Linked DNA regions of Drosophila melanogaster. The protein of the gene in region 3 interacts with the protein of the main gene of each other region in a pairwise test. Each region holds a gene or a part of one and is shown on either strand. Other genes may lie near its edges. The genes, in order: CG15865, CG43894, CG13067 and CG13022.

Evidence for each region.
Region 1: the proteins of CG13067 (region 3) and CG15865 interact in a two-hybrid assay, tested with the Drosophila melanogaster proteins (one large-scale study listed by BioGRID).
Region 2: the proteins of CG13067 (region 3) and CG43894 interact in a two-hybrid assay, tested with the Drosophila melanogaster proteins (one large-scale study listed by BioGRID).
Region 4: the proteins of CG13067 (region 3) and CG13022 interact in a two-hybrid assay, tested with the Drosophila melanogaster proteins (one large-scale study listed by BioGRID).

The regions. Positions count from the first base shown.
Region 1 is NC_004354.4:16,659,463-16,667,749, forward strand, and holds CG15865 (uncharacterized protein), read right to left. Parts: upstream 4,994-8,287; coding exon 4,377-4,993; intron 4,248-4,376; coding exon 1,610-4,247; 3' UTR 1,436-1,609; downstream 1-1,435. Other genes in the region: r (rudimentary), read left to right, coding at 1-1,010, 1,076-1,180, 5,726-5,865, 6,573-8,287.
Region 2 is NT_037436.4:12,886,983-12,892,772, reverse strand, and holds CG43894 (uncharacterized protein), read right to left. Parts: upstream 3,004-5,790; 5' UTR 2,550-3,003; coding exon 2,489-2,549; intron 2,431-2,488; coding exon 2,302-2,430; intron 2,234-2,301; coding exon 1,716-2,233; 3' UTR 1,668-1,715; downstream 1-1,667. Other genes in the region: CG14118 (uncharacterized protein), read right to left, coding at 1-60; CG14120 (uncharacterized protein), read right to left, coding at 3,606-5,790.
Region 3 is NT_037436.4:16,268,392-16,273,492, reverse strand, and holds CG13067 (uncharacterized protein), read right to left. Parts: upstream 2,212-5,101; 5' UTR 2,154-2,211; coding exon 2,142-2,153; intron 2,069-2,141; coding exon 1,841-2,068; 3' UTR 1,575-1,840; downstream 1-1,574. Other genes in the region: CG13066 (uncharacterized protein), read right to left, coding at 46-315, 515-526; CG34248 (uncharacterized protein), read left to right, coding at 2,695-2,991; CG13068 (uncharacterized protein), read right to left, coding at 3,659-3,976, 4,047-4,058.
Region 4 is NT_037436.4:16,936,199-16,941,267, forward strand, and holds CG13022 (uncharacterized protein), read right to left. Parts: upstream 2,755-5,069; 5' UTR 2,745-2,754; coding exon 2,148-2,744; 3' UTR 2,132-2,147; downstream 1-2,131. Other genes in the region: Cpr73D (cuticular protein 73D), read right to left, coding at 3,040-4,385, 4,438-4,619.

The DNA.
Region 1 (8,287 bases), on a different chromosome or scaffold from region 3:
ATCGCTTGTATTTCGAGGAGATTAGCTTCGAGGTGGTCATGGACATCTACGAGATGGAGAATAGCGAGGGCATCATTCTGTCCATGGGCGGCCAGCTGCCCAACAATATAGCCATGGATCTGCATCGCCAGCAGGCGAAGGTGTTGGGCACATCGCCGGAGTCCATCGACTGTGCCGAAAATCGATTTAAATTCTCGCGCATGCTGGACAGGAAGGGTATCTTGCAGCCACGCTGGAAGGAGCTGACCAACCTACAGTCGGCCATCGAATTTTGCGAGGAGGTTGGCTATCCCTGTCTGGTTAGGCCATCCTATGTGCTCTCCGGTGCGGCCATGAATGTGGCCTATTCCAATCAGGATCTGGAGACATATCTGAACGCCGCCTCCGAGGTGAGTCGCGAGCATCCGGTTGTCATTTCGAAGTTCCTCACCGAGGCCAAGGAGATCGATGTGGATGCAGTGGCATCCGATGGACGCATCCTGTGCATGGCTGTTTCGGAGCACGTGGAGAATGCCGGAGTGCATTCAGGTGATGCCACGCTGGTTACCCCACCGCAGGATCTGAATGCGGAGACCCTGGAGGCCATTAAACGGATCACATGCGATTTGGCCAGCGTACTGGATGTCACCGGTCCCTTCAACATGCAGCTAATTGCCAAGAACAACGAGCTGAAGGTCATCGAATGCAATGTCCGTGTGTCGCGATCCTTCCCCTTCGTCTCCAAGACGCTGGACCACGACTTTGTGGCCACGGCGACGCGTGCGATTGTGGGACTCGATGTGGAGCCACTGGATGTGCTCCATGGCGTCGGCAAGGTGGGCGTCAAGGTGCCACAGTTCAGTTTCTCGCGGCTCGCGGGCGCGGATGTACAGCTGGGCGTCGAGATGGCCTCCACCGGTGAGGTTGCCTGCTTCGGGGACAACCGCTATGAGGCGTATCTCAAGGCCATGATGTCCACGGGCTTCCAGATACCCAAGAACGCCGTACTTCTCTCCATTGGCAGTTTCAAGGTTTGTTGGCCACTCCATTGATTATTGATATTAGTTACTCCATTAATAACTCCATTCATCTGCAGCACAAGATGGAGCTGCTGCCTTCCATACGGGATCTGGCCAAGATGGGTTACAAGCTATACGCTTCCATGGGCACTGGCGACTTTTATGCCGAACACGGAGTTAATGTGAGTATATTTATGTCTGTGTGCTTATTGTATATCATGCAACTTTAATCAAAATCCATTGGAGATGCGAGTCAACAAAGTTGAGTAGTTTCAATACTCATTTCCTACTATTTGTTTTCCCTGACTTGGTTTACAAATTGAACGGTTGTTTATATTGCATTATTTATTTTCCATGACATTGGTTTACAAATTCAATAACATTATTATCATAGAGAAATTACGTTGATTTCAAGATTACTAATTACGAAAATATATATGGCGCACATGGTATGGACAATAATTATGGCCCATAACTATATATATATTTCTATCTCTATCTCTAACCGCCCTTATCACAACTGGTTTATCTGTTATCAATATATCAATATATCACTAATCGCCGGGATTTAGCAATTTGGCTACTATATGGTAGTATTATCTTTAGTGTCTCTAGTTGAATGCGCCCTTGAGCTTCTGTGCGTTGCGCTTGAGGATCTCCTTGAGTTCATCCCGCTTGGCCTCGGATGGGGCTACTCTTTGGACCAGTTGCTCCGTTTTGCTGCCCAGCATTTGCACCTTATCCGTGTCGAGGGAGAGCCTTTGAAGGATTCCGTTTAGCGAGAGAAATGATTCCTCCTTGGCTGTTTCCTCCGATTTTGATTTGATTCCCGTTTGCGGCTTAAGGCTATCCACTTCAGGAGAATCTATTGGTTCTCTATCTCTTTGGACATTGGGTTTTTCTTCTATGCGACTTTCTATTTCCCGAAGCAACGCGCTCTTGATCTCCTCCTCCTGTAGGGGTTCAATGGCGTTCGCATCCTCTTGGTGGTGAGCTCTTAGAATCCCATTGAGCTGATGGTTTTCCAGATGGGGCATATGCTTCTGCATGGCCAGCGGTTCTGGAGTGTGTATCTGCACGACATGCTCCTGGAACTTGATGGATTTCCTTGGCGCTGGCGGAGATTCAACCACCGTGGAGGGACTGCCGCCCGATGACGTTGGTATATGCGATTCACACATGCGTTCCATATCGCTGGCTGCGTTCTGTAGTTCCTGGACGAAGTGCTGTGCCTGCTGCGAGCAACCGAGGTGCTGATAAAGGCGGCACAATCTTTGCCCATGCTCCAGATAAAGCTGTGCATGTCCACGGTTGCCAAACCGAATGGCACGAGCCAACATGGCCAGCGAATGATCCAGCAGAAGTTCGATCAGATTGCTCCTTCGCAGGATCTCCAAGCCGTTGTTCAGTTGCGGTTTCGCTGCTTCCTGGCTCTTGGAACTTTCCGGATTGGAGCGTGCCAATAGCAATTGGCGATCCAGGGAGTCGAGCGAGCAACGTCTTTGTTCCGTCGCCGAGATTTGAAATTGCTGAGTCGTGGCCCTTAAGAGCTGTGTCTTCCTGCGCAGCTTTCCTCTCGAGCGCTCCTGGTGCTGAGCCAATCCCAAGAGTCCCTTGGCATCGGTGATCTCCGTCCTTTCGGTTTTTTTTTTCGTTTCCACCTGCTGCCCGCCATTGTTTTCTTCACAGTTCTGCAGAGCGGGAAATCCCTGACGTGGACGCGAGAACTTGCCCCGTCCGTGCAGCTCCAGGTAATCCTGGCTAAAGAGATTCTCCAACAGTCGCTTGTACTCCAGTTGCGGGTAGAATTCCGGCGCGTGCTGAAGATTCCTCAGTGCCTGGATGACATGCAGCAGCGGTTGTTCCGCAATTCCGGCCATTATGCTGCGCAGCTTCATCAGCGTATCCTCTGGGATATGCTCGAATAGATTGCGCCGCTCAATGAAGTAGTCGCTCAGGTGTTTCTTGGCCAAACAGGCGTCGAAGGAGCGAATGAATCGAACCAATCGCTCGCCCAGAAACTCCTCTGGCCAATCATTGCTGTGCTGCTCACATTGCCAAAACATATGGGCTCTCAGCTGTTCGAGCAAAGCTCCCGGGGATTGGTCACAGGATGTGGTTGATTCGTCCACAAAGGTTTTGACCAGCAGCTTCATTAGTTGGAACACCTTCAATTGCATGGGCGTCAGGCAGTGCCGCTCGAGAAACTGTTCCGCCTGGGGAAAGACAATGCGCCATTCCAGTTCCCTGAAGGGATTTCGCGAACGCTTTGGTGCATAGCCCACTGGTACAACATGGAAGCCCATGGATCGAATACGTTTTTTCATCTGCTCCGTTGGCCATTGGAATTGTTCGGCAGTATGGAGGTTGGTCAAACGAGGACGAGCCCTCAGCCAAAACTCGAAGGCGCAATCCGGCCAGGAATTGGGCACATGAATGGCGGGCACCAGCTCCTCGCGAGCGGTATATACACTACAGCCGCGATACGAACACGCGGCCAGCTGCGATTGGCTGATGCCCAATTGGTTAGCCAAATGATGACGCAGCACCTCTCCAAAGTACAACATGAACTGCTGCGAACTGAGGTAGCACTGCTGCAGTTGCTCCACATGACACTGGCGAAGCACCTCCACCGTTTCATAGCCAGCCGGTGGATATTTGCGATTATCGGAATTCGCCTCATCCTTCTCGTCCTCGTCACTGCTGGAGGCGGCGGAGGATGACTCCTCGTCGTCGGTTTGCTCTAGCCAAGGAGGCAGACAATTGGCCAAACGGCGAATGCAATTCCCAGGTAGGACATTCCTCTGGAAATTGAAATCGCGATCAAATCGCAGCTCCTCCAGCGGTCGCGGAGTATTCAACCTGGCCAAGTAGACATAATCGTAGTCCCCCGAACTGTAGCCCGAGGATGGGGAGTTGGATGCGGAGGATCCCACATCACCGTAGATGCATTCCTCATCGCTGCTGGCCGGCAAAGATAAGCTGGAGCTAGTGGGCGTGCCCGCCTGCGGATGCGGCAATTGGTCGCGCAGCTTGAGGCGAACATAGCCCATCCACCTGGTCATCTCCATCAAGTTGACTAGCTCCGAGGGGCAGGGCGTGGTCCGGTAGTAGTCCGTCTCCAGGAGCACCTTGCACAGTGCCGCCACGGTGTCGTAGTTGGCATCGTGGGGTCGCGCCACGTCAACGTTCTCAAAGACCACATAGGTCACGGGTTTCTGCAGCAGCTGTGGTGGACTCTTCGAAGATCTGAAATCGGTTATAAATACATATATTAAAAACCAATTTTAAAATGAAAAAAGAGAAGATCATAAAATGTAGGCAAAAAAGTATAGAAAAATCTAGAAAGTATGGAGAGAGGATAAGGAAAAGACTTACGGCGGCTTGAAGAGCAGGTTCCTGGCGACAGCTGCATCGATGGCGCTACTTTGGAGCAAGCTGTGCTCGGCCAGCTTTTCGGCGGAGCAGTTGCGTCGCCTGGCCACGATTTGGGCATCGACCACGGCCATCTCGGCCTCGAAGTGCCCAAAGAACTGGATACCCAGAAGCAATTGGTTCAGCAGGAAGGTGTGCAGTTCGCGGTCCAATTGGTGTAGGGTCCTCTGCTCCACGGTCCGCTGGAACTCCTCGCGCTGCTGCTCCAATGTTCTGGCATACAGGGCACTGACACATTCGGTGGCCGTGCTTCCATTGCTGCCGCCCAGTAGACGCAGTTGCAGGGCGAGATCAGGATGGCTTTTTCCGTTGATGTGTCGTCTGTGAATCGATCCACCACGACCGAGGAAAGATCCTCCGGCGCTGGCAGATCCAGATCCTGCGCCCTTCTTTCGGCGACGTTTACGCGCGTTACGCTTTTGGAGCTTCTGCAGCTGGCGGAGATGCTTCTCCTCTTGGCGCCGCCTCCTCTGTTGGCGCTGGGCGGGAATGCCCGCCTGCAGGGCATTGGGCGTGGCACTGGAATCCACCTGCTCGGATCGCGACCAGGAGCAGCCCATACTCAACGGACGATCGCTGATTTGTGACTGAATTCCGGCTGATAAAGTGTACAATCTGCGATCGGAGTTCACCAATCACCAATTACCAATTACCTGCGATCTGCGATCTAGTAATGGCAATCGGAAAGATAAGAGCTGAACGACTCTTCCGGCCACCACCTCCTTCGGCCCAATTATCCATTATCAGCCAGTTCCTGGTGCTTCCATGAAAACGGAATTGATTTCCACTTCACTGTGCCGCACAAACAGACAAAAAACTCAAGGAGGCGTCTAAAATAGATGGTCTTCAAAGGAAATATAATATAAAAATTGATCTATTGAATTCTTATCTTAAAATAGTAACTTAAGATTTTCTTCTGATTGCACTCTTAGTTCGATTGAATATATCTTATTACCACTATTCACATATCAAATGTTCAAAGTTCGATTTATTTGGAATTATTGTGTAAGATCGTACATATCTGCACCACTGTGCCATTGCCATGGCCTGTTGCTCTATTGTCTTCGATGTAGACATGAAAGATCCATAAATAATGGTATCTATATGGTGTACTCTGGGCAAACAATTGATTGGAAGTAGAGTTGGTGGCGCGGATGACGATGACATGTGGCCTTGGTGATGATCGGTCGGTCGCATTCTCTATATATATATATATATATATATACCATTGTATATGATCTATGTCTATGTACGAGTAAATATTGTATATATGTGTGCTTTTGCCCTTGCAGGTGGAATCCGTGCAGTGGACATTCGACAAGACGACTCCCGATGACATCAACGGTGAGCTGAGACACCTGGCCGAGTTCCTGGCCAACAAGCAGTTCGACCTGGTCATCAACCTCCCGATGAGCGGCGGGGGTGCCAGGCGGTGAGTACGATTCGATGGTGACTCTTTTTAATGGCCCCCAAATATATATGCCACTAAGTTGGTGATCCATGGAACTTCAGGAAGAAGTCTGCAAGTGCGAATAGTATTTGTTTTCTAATTGTGTTTACCTATAAAACATATATAACATATTTCTTGTAGCGGATATGCATATTTATATAGCTAACCTACTTTGATAAAAGTTCTGTTTTCAGGGGTATTAACGACTTAATGATTCAATATTCAAACAAATGTTAGTCACTGGAATTTTTGGGCCTTGAACACAGTTTGCACAACAATTTGGCATATAATTTAAGTTATTAAGTTATAAAAAGGGCTTGTCTTAATTCCATTTCTTATCTGGCTCAGACATCTTAAATGTTATTTATATTTTCTTTAAAGTCCAATTGGAGTGCAAAGTACTTATAACTGAGTGCAAAGAATTTTCGTTTGTGTGGAGTAAAACTGATATCCGAACGATATATTTTTAGTGTTTTTTATAAAATTGAAGACAGTTCCAAACCTAAAAAGTATATCTTGTCATGTCCGTATGTCAGTTTATCCGTGTGTTTTTACGCAAGCTATTCTCTTATTTTTAAAATTAGAGCAATTAGTTGAAGAATTAATAGTTGTTAGTTTTAAGGCAGTGCCTTTTGATTATATGTACATATGTATCTCCAAGTAAATGTGATTTCCTGATACTATTCCAGGGTCTCCTCGTTCATGACCCATGGCTACCGCACCCGTCGCCTGGCCGTGGACTACTCCATTCCGCTGGTGACCGATGTGAAGTGCACCAAGCTTCTGGTAGAATCAATGCGAATGAACGGTGGCAAGCCGCCAATGAAGACGCACACGGATTGTATGACCTCGCGTAGAATTGTGAAGCTGCCGGGCTTCATCGATGTGCATGTGCATTTGCGGGAGCCGGGAGCCACGCACAAGGAGGACTTTGCCAGTGGAACAGCAGCCGCTCTGGCTGGCGGCGTGACCCTCGTGTGCGCCATGCCCAATACAAATCCCTCGATCGTGGACAGAGAGACGTTCACCCAGTTCCAGGAGCTGGCCAAAGCGGGAGCTCGATGCGACTATGCCCTGTATGTGGGGGCCTCGGATGACAATTGGGCGCAGGTCAACGAGCTGGCCAGTCATGCGTGTGGCCTTAAGATGTACTTAAACGACACTTTCGGCACCCTAAAACTGAGCGACATGACCAGCTGGCAGAGGCATCTCAGCCACTGGCCCAAGCGGTCTCCCATCGTTTGTCATGCGGAGAGGCAGAGCACAGCGGCTGTGATTATGCTGGCCCATCTTCTCGACCGTTCGGTTCACATCTGCCATGTGGCGCGAAAGGAGGAGATCCAATTGATTCGTTCCGCCAAGGAAAAGGGCGTCAAGGTGACCTGCGAGGTGTGCCCCCATCACTTGTTCCTCAGCACCAAGGATGTGGAGCGTTTGGGTCACGGAATGTCCGAGGTAAGGCCATTGCTCTGCTCACCGGAGGATCAAGAGGCTCTGTGGGAGAATATTGATTACATCGATGTATTTGCCACCGATCACGCGCCACACACACTGGCCGAGAAACGTTCGGAGCGTCCACCGCCTGGATTTCCGGGCGTGGAGACCATTCTGCCGCTCCTCCTGCAGGCTGTTCACGAGGGTCGTTTGACGATGGAGGACATCAAGAGGAAGTTCCATCGCAATCCAAAAATCATCTTCAACCTGCCGGATCAGGCGCAGACCTACGTGGAGGTGGATCTCGACGAGGAGTGGACCATAACGGGCAATGAGATGAAGAGCAAGTCCGGCTGGACACCATTTGAGGGCACCAAGGTCAAGGGACGCGTCCACCGGGTGGTTCTTCGCGGCGAGGTGGCCTTCGTCGATGGCCAAGTGTTGGTGCAGCCCGGCTTCGGGCAGAATGTGCGCCCCAAACAGAGTCCATTGGCGTCGGAGGCATCACAGGATCTGCTGCCCAGCGACAACGATGCCAATGACACCTTTACCCGCCTCCTCACCTCCGAAGGACCCGGTGGAGGCGTACATGGAATATCGACCAAGGTGCACTTTGTGGACGGAGCCAACTTCCTGCGCCCCAACTCGCCATCCCCACGCATCCGTCTGGATTCCGCCAGCAACACCACGCTGCGGGAATACTTGCAGCGCACTACCAACTCAAATCCGGTGGCCCACTCGCTAATGGGCAAGCACATCCTTGCCGTTGACATGTTCAACAAAGATCACCTCAACGACATCTTTAACCTGGCACAGCTGCTCAAGCTGCGGGGTACGAAGGATCGTCCGGTGGACGAGCTGCTGCCAGGCAAGATCATGGCCAGTGTGTTTTACGAGGTCAGCACGCGGACGCAGTGCAGCTTTGCAGCTGCCATGCTGCGTTTGGGAGGGCGAGTGATCAGCATGGACA
Region 2 (5,790 bases), 3.4 Mb from region 3:
TGCCCGAATCTCTCGCAGAATCACGACCGCCAAAATTAGGCCGATAAACTGAAGCATCATTTTGTTGGAAACTCAACTCGACCGGTTAAGTTGCTATCTAACCGCCGACTGAATTATTTGTTTGGTGAACAGGTGTTTTTATTTATATTCTCAGTTCGTGCTCTTGTATCTTACATCTCTCTCTCTCTCTCGCTCTCTCTTTCGTTTTGCTTCTTTGTCTTGTAATCTCTCTGAGAATAAAGATATAATACCATTGGATTGTTTGCATTTTTTGAGTACTTCCGAGTTCTTTCTATCTATATACCTTTATACATATGTATGTGTATTTAGGTCTAGGTCGCATTAAGTTCTTTGCTTTTGTCGATCCCCTTTCTTTACAGAGCTAAAACAAAAAGTGATTTATCTCGCGAATGATGTATCTCAATAATTTTATTCAAGATTAATCGTCAATTATATTTGACATTTTTCTTATTTAATAATCGAAAATAATCTATTGTTAAATGACCTGGCAAACAATGTATGTACACAATATATTCATACCTGGACAGCTTTCGATTCATTTGTAAATGAATAATGATCATGTAGATTTCGGGGATCATTTAATTGAAATCTAACCATATGAGTTGTAATCGTTGTTATTGTTATTATTGTTGTTGTTATAATTGTTATAGTCGTAGCTGGGTCGTGCAGTAGTGTACGTATTGTAGGGATTGTAATTGTTATACGTGGGATAAGCTCCATTCGATCCATAATATGAATTTGGATTCACGCCCGTACCCGTGCCTGCCCCAATGCCCATTGGCAGGATTATTAAGGGCTCCACAATTATGCTGGTACCACCCATAGTTCCACCTCCCTGGGGCATCATTGGCATCATGGGCATGGCACCTGGCATGTACGGTTGTCCCATATAAGGTTGTCCCATATACGAGGGATAATACGCACGCCCCGGAGATGGTACATTCATTGAAACAGGACCAGGATACGGCAGCGCTCCTGGCATTGGCATTGGTCCTGGCATGGGACGCATTGGAATCTGACGTGCCGATCGATTGTGAAATTGTGGTAGTGTTGCATCAGAATCCATTTCGGAATCCGTCATCGTTTCCCCCAGAGAAGCTGACAAATATATGTATTAGCTATTAATTTTAGGAACGACAAATTTGAAAGTAATGAAATAATGTTCGGAAGGAGTCCATCCGGTGCTGAGTAGCTTTGAATTTTTTTTAACCAGTATCGAAGATCTTAGGAAGATCCACCCGAAAAGGGTAAGTTAATATTGTAATTATAGGTACTATAACTGGGTGGGTACGGATTGTAAAATGATGGAAGTGAGTTCCCAGCGGAACGTCCATTATAGTTCATATACGTTGGATAGGACATCCCTACTGAGAAGTGGAGCCAAGGATTGGCCGAATTGGGTTGTCCTTGCATGGCATATTGCCGGTTGGCCTGGTATTGAATTGCGTACTGTGGGTTGGGCTGAGGTGGAATCACATATTGTGGTGCAACTTGACGCGGCTGCTGCATTTGAAACGGTGGGCGAGGTGGTGGATACCCGGGTGGCATTGAAGCTGGCATCCCCACAGGCTGATAAGGCATTTGTGGCGTTCGCCGGAAACGGTGCAAAACTGGCGAAGATATAGAAACGAAAAAAAAAGGTTGATAATAGATTCTATATTTATTATTTGCACATAACTAAAGCTCCTGGTCTTTTAGCCAGCTAATGTGAGGTAGATTAAATAGTTATTGGTTGATGAGGGATTGGCTGATCTAGACAGGGGGTATCCATATTGACCATATGAACTTGACCGCACACTGGGATAGCAGTTATAGTAGCATGGTGGAGTGGGAGGAACTAATTGTGGCCCATTGGCCGATCGCTGCTGCGTATAAGAAGGCAATCCTGCTCCCGAATTCGGATAACGGGGATAAGTACAGGAATATGGGTAGAGCGGACTGATGGTACAGGGAGGACTTTGTCCTCGATTTAGCCAAGGATTTGGCTGTTGAGGTTGCTGGGAACCATCTTGAACAATAACCAAAACATTAGCCTGCCGTTGGCCTGCATGGGTGGCAAATGTATCGGAGTTACTGAAATCGCTCAGCAGTTTAAAGTCACTGTTCCTATTATTCCGATTGCGACTCGTGGAAGTGCTGGGTATGATGATGCTGTTTCGGGTGTTGGCAGTGGTCTGTGTAGTGTCGATGATGAAATCGCTGGCCAGCTGATCTGAAACGGATCAGTTGAAAAGGACCAGATTTCAGTGTGAACCGATGAAAAAACAAAATTTTACGAACCTGATTGGCACTCCGGATAGGTTCCACATTGTTCTCCTTCTTGCTGATTTGGGTTTTCGCAGGGAACTCTGGATACAATGCATTTTTTACCAGATATACAGGCAATATCCTCACAACTAAGTCCAAATTCTGTATTGATAGTGGGGAATTTTTTAGATTTTATCCCTTATCCTGTTCGCTGACTTACTTCTGTATCCTTGGACAACAATCGTCGTGGCTAATATCAAATATATACCAACAAGTTCCATTTTCTCTTGTAAAATTCCGAAACTAACTAAATTCATTTCCCTAAATCCCTCATATTTATATCATTTTGATATTTCATGGTTGATGAGTTGCGGTAATGATTATTTGCAAAATTAAATCACCGAAATATGATGATTATTGTTCTGACTCTTTCTAACATAAATAAAAGTTCATTAAACAGCGCTAATTGAATATTTTTGTATGGCTGTTTAAATGCAGTACATTAAAACTTACACGATTAATAAGTTACTGCCTAAATATTTCAGCAGTAGGTTAGCCGAATAGAACTATCTATTAAACGGTCTCTGAACTACGCCTTGAACAGGGGTAAATAAACATTGCTTAACAAAATAACACACACTTTCAGCCTTGATAGATATTACTGATTAATTAAAACGAAGTTTAACCGCATTGTTGAATCCGCAACAATTCTAAGTGAATGATTACTCGACCAATATAAATCAATTTTGGTTTCTATCTGCTTCATTTACGGTTTTTGCCTTTTGTTTACCCCCTAAAAAGTCCATTATAATTATTAACCAAGCAGGCGTATACTTCATACGTTCTGCGACGATTGTGTTGCGATAAGATAAACAAAGGGAACCGCACAAGTAATACAAGGTATTTCCTTAGCTTCGATAAGAAAATGTGAAAGTCACTGCCATTGGGACTTCGATTCGGGCCAAGGGACTGCCTCTTGGGCTACTGGAACAGCAGAAAAAATTAAGGCTTTTGGAAACGTGCGGCACGTGAGCAAATAATCCAATGGCTGGGTAAATAAATAGCTCTACCCCGGCCATAAACGATAACGTCAAGCATTTGATAACCTTACTCTTATCAATATGTCCAACATGCAATAAACTCCAAAGAGAACAAAAGCTAAACGTGATTTCACTGTTTTATGGCCCATGAGAACTTAATTTAAACGTGCCTTTAAGCATTTTCCTAAGGGCTACCCTTCAATAAAAACCTGTTTTCTTTAAGATAGTCTTTTTATTGGTTTTAAATTAAGAAATTCGTTTTTTTTTTTGGAAATTGCACACCCACAAAATCTGATATTAAACACCCAGGACTCCATCGACAAACAGGTCTTGTAAAGGTAGGTCTTTCACCACTGCAGTAAAGTCCTCCACAGTACAGGCATATGAATAGCCCTTCTTTAGGTCCTCTTTGGTCCAACTGACCCAACTCAGTTGGGCGCCAATATCCTGGCAGATGATGTACTCCTCTTCGATTTGCTCAATGGTGGCATGTGGGTTGTTAACTCCAAGTAGCACGATGCCATTTCTGCTCTCGCGATCGATAATCACGCGGAAGTACAACTTTGGCACTGGAATCAGACCATTGTTGTTTTCATCAAAGTCCAAATAGAGCTCCCTTCCAATGCCATTTACATCCGGCAGGGTGGACACACCCCATGTGCCCGTATAGCAATCCACTGTGATGTTTTCATCCGCCACAAACTTTCTCACACTGTCCTCGATTCGTTCCCAGTTTCCGCCATTAAAGGTCTGCCACTGAGGTGCCGCATTCACAAAGAAGAAGCTCGCCTTTTGAGCGGCCCCAAAGACAAAGTCGGTCTTTGCAGAAAGGTGACCCCGAGCCAGATAGACATTACCAGTGGTGTTGAAGTATGGTGAGGCATCCATGCCCAAAATCTCGGAAACCGTGATATTCTGTTGAACTTGGGTGTACAAAGTGTTCACATCCTTGCCTCCGTAAAAGTCGCCGGGTATAAAGGATGGCCTGGATACAGATCGCTGATATTGGTCACTTCCGGGGTACAAAACATGATGCACATAGCGGGTGACTTCGCTCAGTTCATCGTGACACACGTCATAGGTCTGCAGGAAGTCGTCGCTCGAGGAGGATGACAGCTGAAAGCCCACTTCAAGCAGATCAGTACCACCATTGCAGGGACGACCAGAGCGACGAGCAGTGTATGTTGGCCAGGAAGTGCAGACAAAGTCCTGCAGCTGATACAAACTGCCCATTGCCAGGATGCTCTGCTGTTGCCAGCATGTTGAATTGACGAAGGTATAACCAGAGAAGGGTCCACTGAAAGAATTGATGCAGTGGAACTCAAGGGCTTCTCCATGTTTTAGCTGAACTACTCCTTCTTGATTCGGTTCCAAATATCTCGCATGACCCAATTCACTCCTGACTACAAATAAAGGAGCCGGATCCTTAAGATCACCGTTCACTTTAAAGCTGCACACTTCATTGTCCAAGATTTGATCAGTCAAACCAAGAATTCCTGTTGTTTGCAGTTGATCTGTGGGCAAATCCTTAACCACTTCGATGAAATCTTCTACAGAGCACGCATAGGAGTAGCCCTTCTGCAGGTTTGCTTTGTCCCAGTCCAACCAATCGATTTGCGCTCCCACATCCTCACAGATCACATAATCCTCGAGGGTCTCCGTCAATGTTATATGTGGATTGTTGACCACAATTAGAACTACTCCCTTGCGACTTTCCTGATCGATAACAATGCGATAGAGGATCTTAGCTACTGGCAGTTGTTTGGTCTCGGCATTCAGATACAGAGGTGTCTGGACACCTTGTGAATTGGGTAGAGTTGAGATATCATAGCTGCCGGCATGTACACTCACATTAAGTGCCTCATCCGCCACAAATTGCTTCAAACTGGATTCCACTGCAAGCCAATTTCCAATATTGATGCTTCTCCATTGAGGAACTGCGTTCACATAAAAGTGGGTGGCTCTCTGGGCGGAACTATGGACGAAATCAAGACGAGCTGCCAGCTGTCCTCTGGTCAAATAGAGATCCTTAGTGCTGTCAAAGTACTGACTGGCATCTAATCCCAGGGCCGTACTAAATGCATCCAGCTGGTGTGATTGGTCATATAGAACATTGACATCTTCGCCGCTATAGAAGTCACCTCGAAGATAGCCCGGTTGAGCAACACCCTTTTGGTAGGCCACATTGGCCGGAGTCAGTTCATAGCGAGCGTATCTGGAGATCTGCTCCTGCTGATCGTAGCAGAGCTCAACATGGCTAAGAAAACCGGCAGCCACATCGAAGCCGATGTGCACCACATCCGTACCACCAGCGCAAGATTGTCCCGATCGGACTGCCGCATATGTGGGCCAACTCTGGCAGACGAATCCTCGAATATTGACCAGCTGTCCTTCGGCCTCGTACAATTGATCACCAACACAACGAGCGCTCAGAGCTGTATACCTATTAAATGGTGATACCAGAGCTCCAGTGCAGTGCAGA
Region 3 (5,101 bases):
CACGTGCGGCAGCCTTGCGGAATCCCTTTGCCATCCTGGGACATCTTACTTCTTGAGGATGGTGGCCACAGGGGCGGCGGCATAAACGGCTGGCAGGGCGGCGCTGTGGGCCACACTGTGGGCACTGTAGCTACTGGCATAGGGGGCCACGTAGGGGGCGTAGGCAGGGGTGTAGGCGGCGGTGTAGGCGAGGGGTGCGGCAGCGGGCAGGGAGCTGTACGCCAGTGGAGTGGAGTAGGCCAGAGGGGCATTGTAGGCCAGCAGACCAGGATTGGCAGCAGCGGCGGCGAACAGGGCGCACAGGACAACGGCAAACTGCAGGATAAAATGCATACAAAAAGTACATTAAAATACACATTTACAAGAAGTTTTATAAATATAAAAAATTGTTTGAAAAATCTACACTGTTTGATAATAGTTTTATTTCGAACACACGCGTTTTTGTTTGTATTTAGGATTGTGAATTGTTGCATTTTTGAAACATTGTATCCTTAAAAAAATGTTGGAAACTTACGAATTTCATCATTTTAATTGATTTGGTTGTGTTAGCGTCGAAGTTAGACTTCTGATTGATGTCTTGTGCTGAGTTCGAAGTGGTTTATATAGGTAAATATACATAGCATCCTTGACAAAGCCCATTGAAAAAGCAAAAACCCAGCAAGTTTAAAGCATTTCCATCACGTACCAGGGCTAAAACAGGGCCAAACATTTGGTCTCTTTTTACTGGCACAATTATAATGTTGCAGATTTGTGTTTGTCGATATGCCTGCGAATAGTACGCATTCCTTGTGAATTTATTATTGAAAATGAATGTTTTTTCCCGCTCATCTTGAGCATTTCCGCAACTGGCGTCAGCAGCTGTCGTTTGCCGATTGAATTATCATAATTTAGCACTCAGTGCGTTTTGTGGGCTGTGAACGTGCGTGTCATTCCAACCGTCTTGGCCATCTCCGGAGTTCGGCTCACTCTGTACGTTTCAATTGTCAGCCACTCGAACACGCCACTTTGCATTCTAATCAGAGATGCAAGTAAAAATAGAAGCGGTTTATCCAGTTTCGAAGGACGTCATCGAGTTGAGCCCTTGGCTTAAGGTTGAGGACACCAGAAACAGGGAATCGAAAGCTTTGCATAAATGGAATCGCGAGTTCAATAAACCGGAGGTCTCGTTGACCCTATTAATCCAATGCAAACATGGACATTCCACCACGAAGAACACAACCTCCTTTACACTTCCTTTTTTTTTAACAAATAATAGGTTTTAAGTCCAAAAAATAATTTCCAATGTATCAAAGCAATTTATTGATACAAAGCTTAAAAAAGTCATTGATTCCTTCCAGCCCACCAAAATTAAAAAATGTAGGGGCTAGCAATTTATGAAACTAGTGTGAGAAATATTTACTGAAAATATGATATCACCTACTTTATAAATAATATTTCCATTGGATTTTAATGTATACCAAATTTAGTACTTAGTACCCATTGCAAAAGAGTACTGCCTAAAAGTATGTGATTATACATACTCCCTTCACATTAGAGATGAATAAGTGATGCAATAAATTATGAACAAGTGGTATACGTTTTACGCAAAATGCAGTATTTATTTCAACAAAAATATTCCCTTTCTTGAAGTGGTATGTCCTGTTCCCATGACTTAACTTTCAGCAGTCGGCAGAGGTGGGGAAATGTAGAGTCTGTCGAACTAACACCAGGGATGTAAGAAGATTGGATGTTGCAGGTGGTTAGCAGGAAGGTGTGTATCCTTGTTGCAATAGATGTGTATATGTTTATATTCAGGTCCAGTTCAGCAGTCAGGTTAAGATCACGATCCATTCATCCAGTCTTAACGGTAGTAGGCGGCATAGGGGTAGGCGGAGTAGGCGGACGCATAGGGGTACGTGTAGGCGGAGTAGGCGGCGGCCACTGGAGCGGTGTATGCCGCGGTGTAGGCAGCCGAGTAAGGAGCAGCTGCCACATAGGGAGCGGAGTAGGCGCTGTAGGCCAGAGGAGAAGCGAGCACCGCCGGCTTGGCAGAGACGCAGGCCACGATGGCGAACAGGCACAGAGCGAACTGAAAGGATAGGAAAAGTGCTTATGAGTAATCCGTTGTTTGGTGGCAAGTCCAGCTATCCTGCGATCCTTACGTATTTGAACATGTTGGCTGTTTGGGTTGGTTGTGAACTGTTGGTTCTCAAGTACTAGACTGATATCTCCTAGTGCCCGAGTACTCGGGTATATATAGCAGAATCGGTCGAGAAAATTCCATTCCAATTCCCCACATTGAAGCGAAGGTGATGCGTGGCCATTGGTATGCACATCCATTCCCAGATCGGTTCCAAGTCCATTTTGAAGCCAGCCAAGGAGAATCTTGAGCATTATGGCTTTGCACTTTTGGTTTCGTTTGGTATTTTTAAAAGCGTGACGAAAAGCGAAAAACAAATCGAATGTGAGTCCGTGTTTTGCATACTAAAACGTAGCTGGATATTGATCCATCCATCGGCAAGTCTGGAAATGACCCACAAAAACTGCCGGGTTGGGTTCAGAAATTTATAAAGCTGGGTTCTGTCGCTCCAGTCATGTTTATTTCGTTTTCAGAACGTTGAGCTATCAGATCTTATCAGCTCGGATTAGCTATGTACAGGAAATTAGTAAGTCTCAAGCGGTTATCCGCCGAGAAGTCGATGCACTTGCTCAAAGATGATGAGGCCTCGCCATCGGTGGCCATTTCAGGTGGTGCTCCTCCTTCTGATCCACCTGGCGGCCGCGGGTCAGATCCAGGATGCTGCCGAGGAGATCGATGTGCCGCCTGCCCATCGGGCTGCTCCACCACCGCCCCGCCAGGCAGCTGGAGCTGCTGTTCCCCCACCACCACTGGGGCCACCACCACTTGTGGGCTCTGCACCGCCGCCGAGCTATCCTTTGTTCTACCCAGCTGCGTGGCTGCCATTCGGACGCTACAGCAACTCCATTCCCGTCCACATAGTGGCTGCCTAGGGGAGCGTCCTCCCACTGGCCATAAGGTGGTCAAAGGACACTGTTGTCCCTCCTGTTGAATCCTTTCCCTGTTATGGTTGCTATTTTACTCGTTATTGCCCGCTTTAAGCCAGAAATATATTTTTAGACACGCACATGCATAATTATTTATTCGGGTTGACGCAACTTTCAGTCGGCAATTTTTAAATGGCCAACACGTGATTCTCCTACCAGAGATGCCGGTTACCTATACATTTCGAGAAATCTATCACTTTTGCCATCTGTGATTTGTCAATGGATGATGACGCAACTGAATTGGTATTTTTTCGGGCTACATTTCCGCATTTTAAGTGGGCAGAACAGACGCTGCCAGAACAAAAGGTTTAGAAAAGGTGACAGTAAAAAAATATTAATTATAAAAAACGTATATGTTTAGGTGACTTTCTTTTTAAATACTATCAAGAACTTTTGTTGCCGCCAAAAGATTGAGAAATAATAATTAATAGTAGAAAATCCATTAAAAAGTATTAATAATATATAACTATAGCTTTTTTGCTATTGAAAAACAGAACTTGGTGTTCCCATTTCCAGAATAATATTTTTAAGCTTTTAGTTTGATTTGTTTTATTGCCAGTCGGGTCTATTTTTATTCCATTTCAAATCCGTTTTGAATACTTGTTAATCCGTTTTACAAAACAGTGGTGTATGCAGCGCTGTAAGGGTAGGCGGCATACGGATAAGCAGAGTAGGCAGCGGCAACTGGAGCGGTATAAGCAGCGGCGGCAACTGGAGCGGTATAGGCAGCGGCGGCAACTGGAGCGGTGTAGGCAGCGGCAACAACTGGAGCAGCAGCCACACCGTTGAAGTTGCGGGCCACGTACTGCGAACTGGTAGCGGTGACCACGCCGGCAGGAGCAGCTGCAACCACTGGAGCGGCGGCCAGGATAGCGGGCTTGGGCTCAGCCGAGGAGCAGGCCACCAGAGCGCACAGGACAACGAGGGCAGACTGTACGGAAATAACCAGTTAATATAATACTCCAGATATCTGTATCCATATGGAGAAACCACCAACTCACCAGCTTGAACATGATGGTTTAGTTTAGTTTGATTTGAGCTAGCAAATTGGACTATGACTTGATTCGATCCGACATGCAACTTTTATAGCACCGGGAAATCGCATAGATGCTTTTGACTTTCTGGGCACACACGATAATGGGGCGAATGATTCTATACCACCTGCATGGGAATGCAGAGCGGCCTTTCAGTAGCTCAATTGGCCGTTTGGCTACGTTCCCGCCGCCCGCGGAGGTCGATTCCAATCCGAATCCGAATCCGAATCTGAATGCAAGACCAAACCCATTCATTATTTCGGGCACGTCCGCATTGTGGGCCCATAAAAGATGTCGCCGCGAAGGTGACCAGTAGCCCGATGTGATTGATGCCACCAGACACGGCTAATTGCCGATGAGTAACCTCCTGCGCCAAGAGTTGGCCAGGAATCAATGAAATGGAATTGCACGCTTCAATCCGATTGCGAGCGCATTGTTTCAGGGTTACGTCCGTCGGCTGCAATGGTCTTTATGCAATCAAAACCATGTCATCGTGCCCGTTCTTTGTTTCGGCCAAAATCTAATCCGCTTGACTGATGCAATGCGGTCAATCTCACACACGAGCCAAAAAACGCCAGTTACGTTTACATTCGCATCGTAAGGTCAACAAACTGCATGGCAAGATGCAGTTTCGAGGGGGTCGCCAGATAACTGAGGCTCTAAAGTTAGCAGACAGCTTTTAATAAGAGTCAAGCTCAGCTTACCAGTCCATTCACAATCGAAACGTGCCTGTATGGGCTTATATCTCTGAAGCAAAATGAAGCCAGACATGTAGGGGTTCCTACAGGGCAAGTTCTTTTGGGGAGAGGACGACCTCGGAATACCCTGTACTCAATTAACCACATATACTTCTAATCTTGAAAACCAGAAGCAGAAGAATGTCTAGCTACACGACATATGTATAAACATATTACCAAAATTGATATAATGACAATATTTAGAAAGATATCGTAAGATACCCAAATTTTATATATTCGTTTTAAAACCTTTTTCTATTATTAAATGCATTTATGAGATCACGT
Region 4 (5,069 bases), 670 kb from region 3:
CTGGAACTCGTTAGAAAGTTTCGCACATAGTGACTCAAGAGTCATGTTCTTTTTTTTTTTTTTTGATTTGACAAGCACTTCGGCGTGAAGACTTCACACACTTCTCGGGTATCAACAGATGTCAGGATTAAGACTTAGCTTCGGACCGTTTTTGATCGATAATCATGAATAACAAATGTCTGAAATCAGAGAAATTGATTTCAGGTTCGTGCCTTAAGTCATTTGTTTTCATTGCAGACCAGTCTTTATTAGCCCAGAACCATTAATTTTGTGATTAACTTTGCTGTGATACAACTGCAATTTATTCTTTTATTGGCTTTTATGCCCCGAGCAGCCAGCTACTGACTGCGCTGTGAAATAATGCATATTCCTTGATTAAGCAGCATCGAACGGGGGGTCGACCTTTGTGGCACACGCAGGCATCAATAAAATTGCCACAAGATTTATGGTTTCGAGTGCGCAGAGCCGAAGGGAGCATACGAAATTAGCAGCAACACGTTGTAAGCCCCGAATGCGCCACACGCACCACTTGATCCACAATTGGAATGCAGCAATCAAAAGGCGATAAATCGAACCCCAACTGAAATCCAAGCAGCCGAAGAGCGAGTCGAGAAGTTGAAGACCGAAGACCGAAGACCGAAGACCCAAGACCCAGAGACCTTGGGGCCTATTTATAAATGCAGGCGAAACGGGACTGCTAGTGGGATGTCGTTGCCTAGGCCCGGGCCAATTAAGTCTGACCTTCGGCGAGGAGGAGAATCCCAGCCCAAACCGTTGTTTATGAGGGGGAAAATAAACAGAAACAGCTAACTGGCACCTGGGAGAGCCGGAGCCCCAGTAATTTGTGGTTTCAATGCAGGCCGTTCTGCTGCTACGCTAACCCAATTATGCACCTCGGCTACTTCCCAGGTGAGCCATTGATTTCTACGCTGAGAACGTGGCCATTTCAGCCATACAAACCCTAGACCCGGCCGAATAGAATCTATGTCAAGCTATGGCAAGCTTTTTAGTGCTCTTCTGTACGTTCTTTTAGTGCATTCGGCGAAGAAAGTTTTCGAGTGCGTAGGAACTTGTTTCAGGGAAATCACTCGCTTAGATCTCTTGACATTAAAACTTAATTGTGGCAGTGAAACTTTCGGTCAAAACTGGCCCATGTAATAACTTTTTGTTTTAGCAAATATGCATATTATTATTGCTTATGGGCTTTTCTTGGCTTCGCGCGGCCAGAAATATATTTTATTTAGGCCACGCCGTGGACGCCAAGGCTTTCCGTTCGATTCAAATTATTTGGCAAGTGCGCGCACGCGTCGAACATTTCAAATGCTGTATTATTTTGGTCCCTTTCCGACATGAAATTGCCCAAACAAAAATAAATAAGCCACAGAGCTGACTCAATTTGGCTTTGGGATGCACTGTCCATTTGTAAAATGACTTTGTGCGACCGAATATAACCATTTTTATGATCGGAAAATCAATTAGGGTTTATAACATGCATAAATCGCCGCAGTTGTATCGTGCCAAAGCACGCGCCACAAGCAATTAAAGCTCTTACAATCATTTACGATCAGAAACTGACAATGTTTACCCTTATCTACTTTATGCAAACATTTTTATTGTAAAACGTTTAAAAATTATGTCCAGGCAAGAAAATTTTCTATTAATGCGATGACCGCTTTTATGGAACTCAAGTTATGTTTCTTTTTAAAATGAAGAAAAATATTCTTTCTACCGTCCTATTTAGCATAATATTATATTCCAAGATTTACAATTACAAAAAGAATTCATACATTTTTGGACATCTATTTTTACGTACATTTTTTTTTTAATTTCACCATTATTTATAAATGTTAATATAATGTCTTCCGATCCAAAGATAATTTTGTGCCGCGTAGAAGTTATGAAATCCAGAGCTCTCGATAATATTTGACTATTGCTTGCATTCTATAACCAAGCAAAGCTGCACTCTTTTCTTTGAATGAACTCTGTTTTACAAGTCATTCATTCTTTGACATATGTTTACAGTTCAGATCCCCGATCACGTAGGTCTCAAACACGACAGGTGACACTGTCAGATCTCCAAAGACTTCCAGTAAATAACGCAAAACACCCAAGTAGAACGAGCAATAGTTTTGGCTAATATATTTTATTTACGTGTAGCCACGATATTTATGCAACTCTTGCAGGCTAGTCAAGGCATTTGTTTGGATTCCGTTTCCGATTTCGATTTCCGAGTGCGGTTCAGCGGCGGTGGTGGCCTTGGCCAAATTGCCACCCATGACCACGAATCCGATGCCGGCGCCCGCCTTGTAGCTCAGCTCATGGTAGCCAGCCTCATCGTAGTAGGAGTACTTGCCCAAAACATTTCCCGCCTCATCGGTGTGCTGGGCATGCGACATCTGGTCGGTGCTGAAATCAAAGTTTTGCTGGCTTTGCCGGTGCTTCAGGTGGTTGGTCGATGCTAATTGGTAGCCCGCACTCAGCGAAGATGTTGCCACTGCTAGGTTATCCTGTGTATTGTAGGAAATCCGGGAAAGTGGATTCTGTCTTGTCCTCAGAGATTGATGCACAAAGTTCAGCGGACCAAAGGAATCCAGAGAAGATGCCCCAAAACTAGGCTTAACGACACTCCTATCCAATCTATCGCCATCCGTGTTGTAGGAGTATCCTTGTCCATTGAACTGCATATACACTTGCGCTCCTTGAGCACAGGAAACTATCAGCGAAGCAATGAAAAGCACCAACATCATGTTCAAGTCTCAGAAACAACTAAACTCCGAGCATGCTAAGTCATGGGGTTATATGTGGATTCAAGGAAACCGCAATGTGCAGATTAACCTGCTTATACCCGGATCCACGGATATCAAATAACTATTCGCTAGAGATACAGATACAGTTTGAGATACAGATACAGGCAAAAAATGTATTCCGCTTTAAATACTGTTTTAGTTTCCATGTGGAGTCAACCCAGTTTCGGTTACTCAACACTGATCACTTAGAGCTACGCACTACAAACTACAGATCTACAGATCCAATGGGTGCTTAGTGCTCCCTTGAGGCATTCAGCTCGGCGATCTCATCCTGACGCAGTGCCTCCGACGGCGAAAGTCCGATCCTTCCGCCCAAGGGTATTATGTCGATGTTCTGGACATGGGCACGCACACTTTGACCAGGCGGCAGGCCCACGTACCATTTACCCACGTTCTTGATGACGGTGGAGTCGCGGTGTCGCTGCACCCACTCCCGATCCCTGTCGATCTCTAGAATTCGGTGGTTGGCGGTGACCAGAGGAGGCAGTGAACTGCCCACATCGTCATCGTTGAGGTGGTAATTGTCCCCGGGTCCGCTCATGGCACTGGTGCCCGATCCACCTGTGGGCGGCAGGTAGCCCAGGCCGGAGTCGCCTTCCCTGGAGGCTCCAGCTCCACCTCCTCGACGACTGCTTCCACCACCGGCAGCACCTCCCCTTCCTGCTCCCCGCTCAGAGGAGACACTTACTCCACCAACGCCGCCGAATCGGTTTCTGTTTCGGGACCCACTAACATTGTTTCTCGTGGAGCTACCTGAACCACCTCTCTGAGAGCTGTCACCTCCGGCATCGTATCTAGTACTGCCCCGTTGCGGACTACCCGCAGGGAACCCTCTTCTGTCTTCTTTGCCATTAAAGTTGGTGGAACCAGAGGAGCTGCTGCCAAGCCCAATGTCATCCCCTTGGTCATCAGCATGGTGTCCCAGATTTTCATCAGCTGCCCCAGCATCACCATCTCCACGATTCCTATCTCTTGCTCCATCAGCCGGCTTTAGGTAATCTTTGCCTCCGGGTCTGCTTGGAGTACGGCCCCTTCCCGCTCCACCTGCACCACCACTTGGCCCCGAAGCTCCTACCGAAACACTTCCCCCACCTGATCCACCACCACCTCCCTTCGGACCTAAGCCACCACCAGCACCCCTGCCAAAATCATTAGCCAGTCGGAAATCTGGATCTGTCAAACGAAAATCAGCCACAGAGGGATTGTTATGGGTTCCAGGACCAATCCGATTTTGCACCACCCGGTAGCCAATTCCTGCTCCAGCTATATACTCCACTGTCCGCTGCACGCCCTTGTCGTCCAGGAAGGAGTAGGTTCCTCGCACCAGGCCATCGGGTGCTCGACTTTCTGCCCGTCGGTGATCCGAACCTGAGGCGATCAGCTTATAGCTTCCAGCCGGCCCCCTTTGCACAGACATCTTGCCGCGTGCTTTGGGATGGGACGTGTACAGAGGACTGGAGTACGCCACAACAGATGGGCTGTCCGGCACAGCGTTGGAGATCTCGAATCCGGTTCCGGCTCCAGCTGCATAACGAACACTGTGCCGCTCGCCCACGTCGTCCAAATAGGAGTACAGACCTGGGATAGAATCAGTTAATATACTCTTAAGTACCATACTCGCTAAACTCGCCTCTTATCCTATTCCCGGAATCATTCTCCTCGCTGCGCGACTGATCCGGAGTGCGAAAACTAAAGCTGTAGGATGGATCGTCGAAGGGATCGGCCAGCGGATCGTCCGGACTTCCCCGCGGCAGTACCGGATACTGAGCCAGGTCCATTTTCCGATGGATTTTCGGTCCGTTCACGCGAAATCTATGTGGGAAATAGAGGGAGATTAATTAGCTACCGACACAATGAGTGGGGATTGGGTAAACCCTTTCAGCGGAAGCGGACTTGCACTGCAATTTTGAATATAGATTCGATCTTAGCCCGGCACGCCATTACTTCGATTACTACACATCTCGGGGAACGATCCCATTCAGAATCATCGCTATCGTTGAGCATCTGCCATCTACAATCCATTCCTCTTTTTTTTTTGGCTCGAATCTCTCAGGCCAGTCAATTTGTTAACAGCTTTTTGTTTCCCCCGATTTACCGGAGATTGCAAAAAACAACAGTAGCGCCGAAGCGGTAATGGAAAAACGTTTAGGCAACGCCAGAAAAAGCAGTCCAATGTGTTAGAACGGCTCCAACTCCATGGATCCCCCTCCGTTTGTTTGGGTTTCGCTTCAGTGGCCGCCGCCTGCCGCCAACCGCTGATAT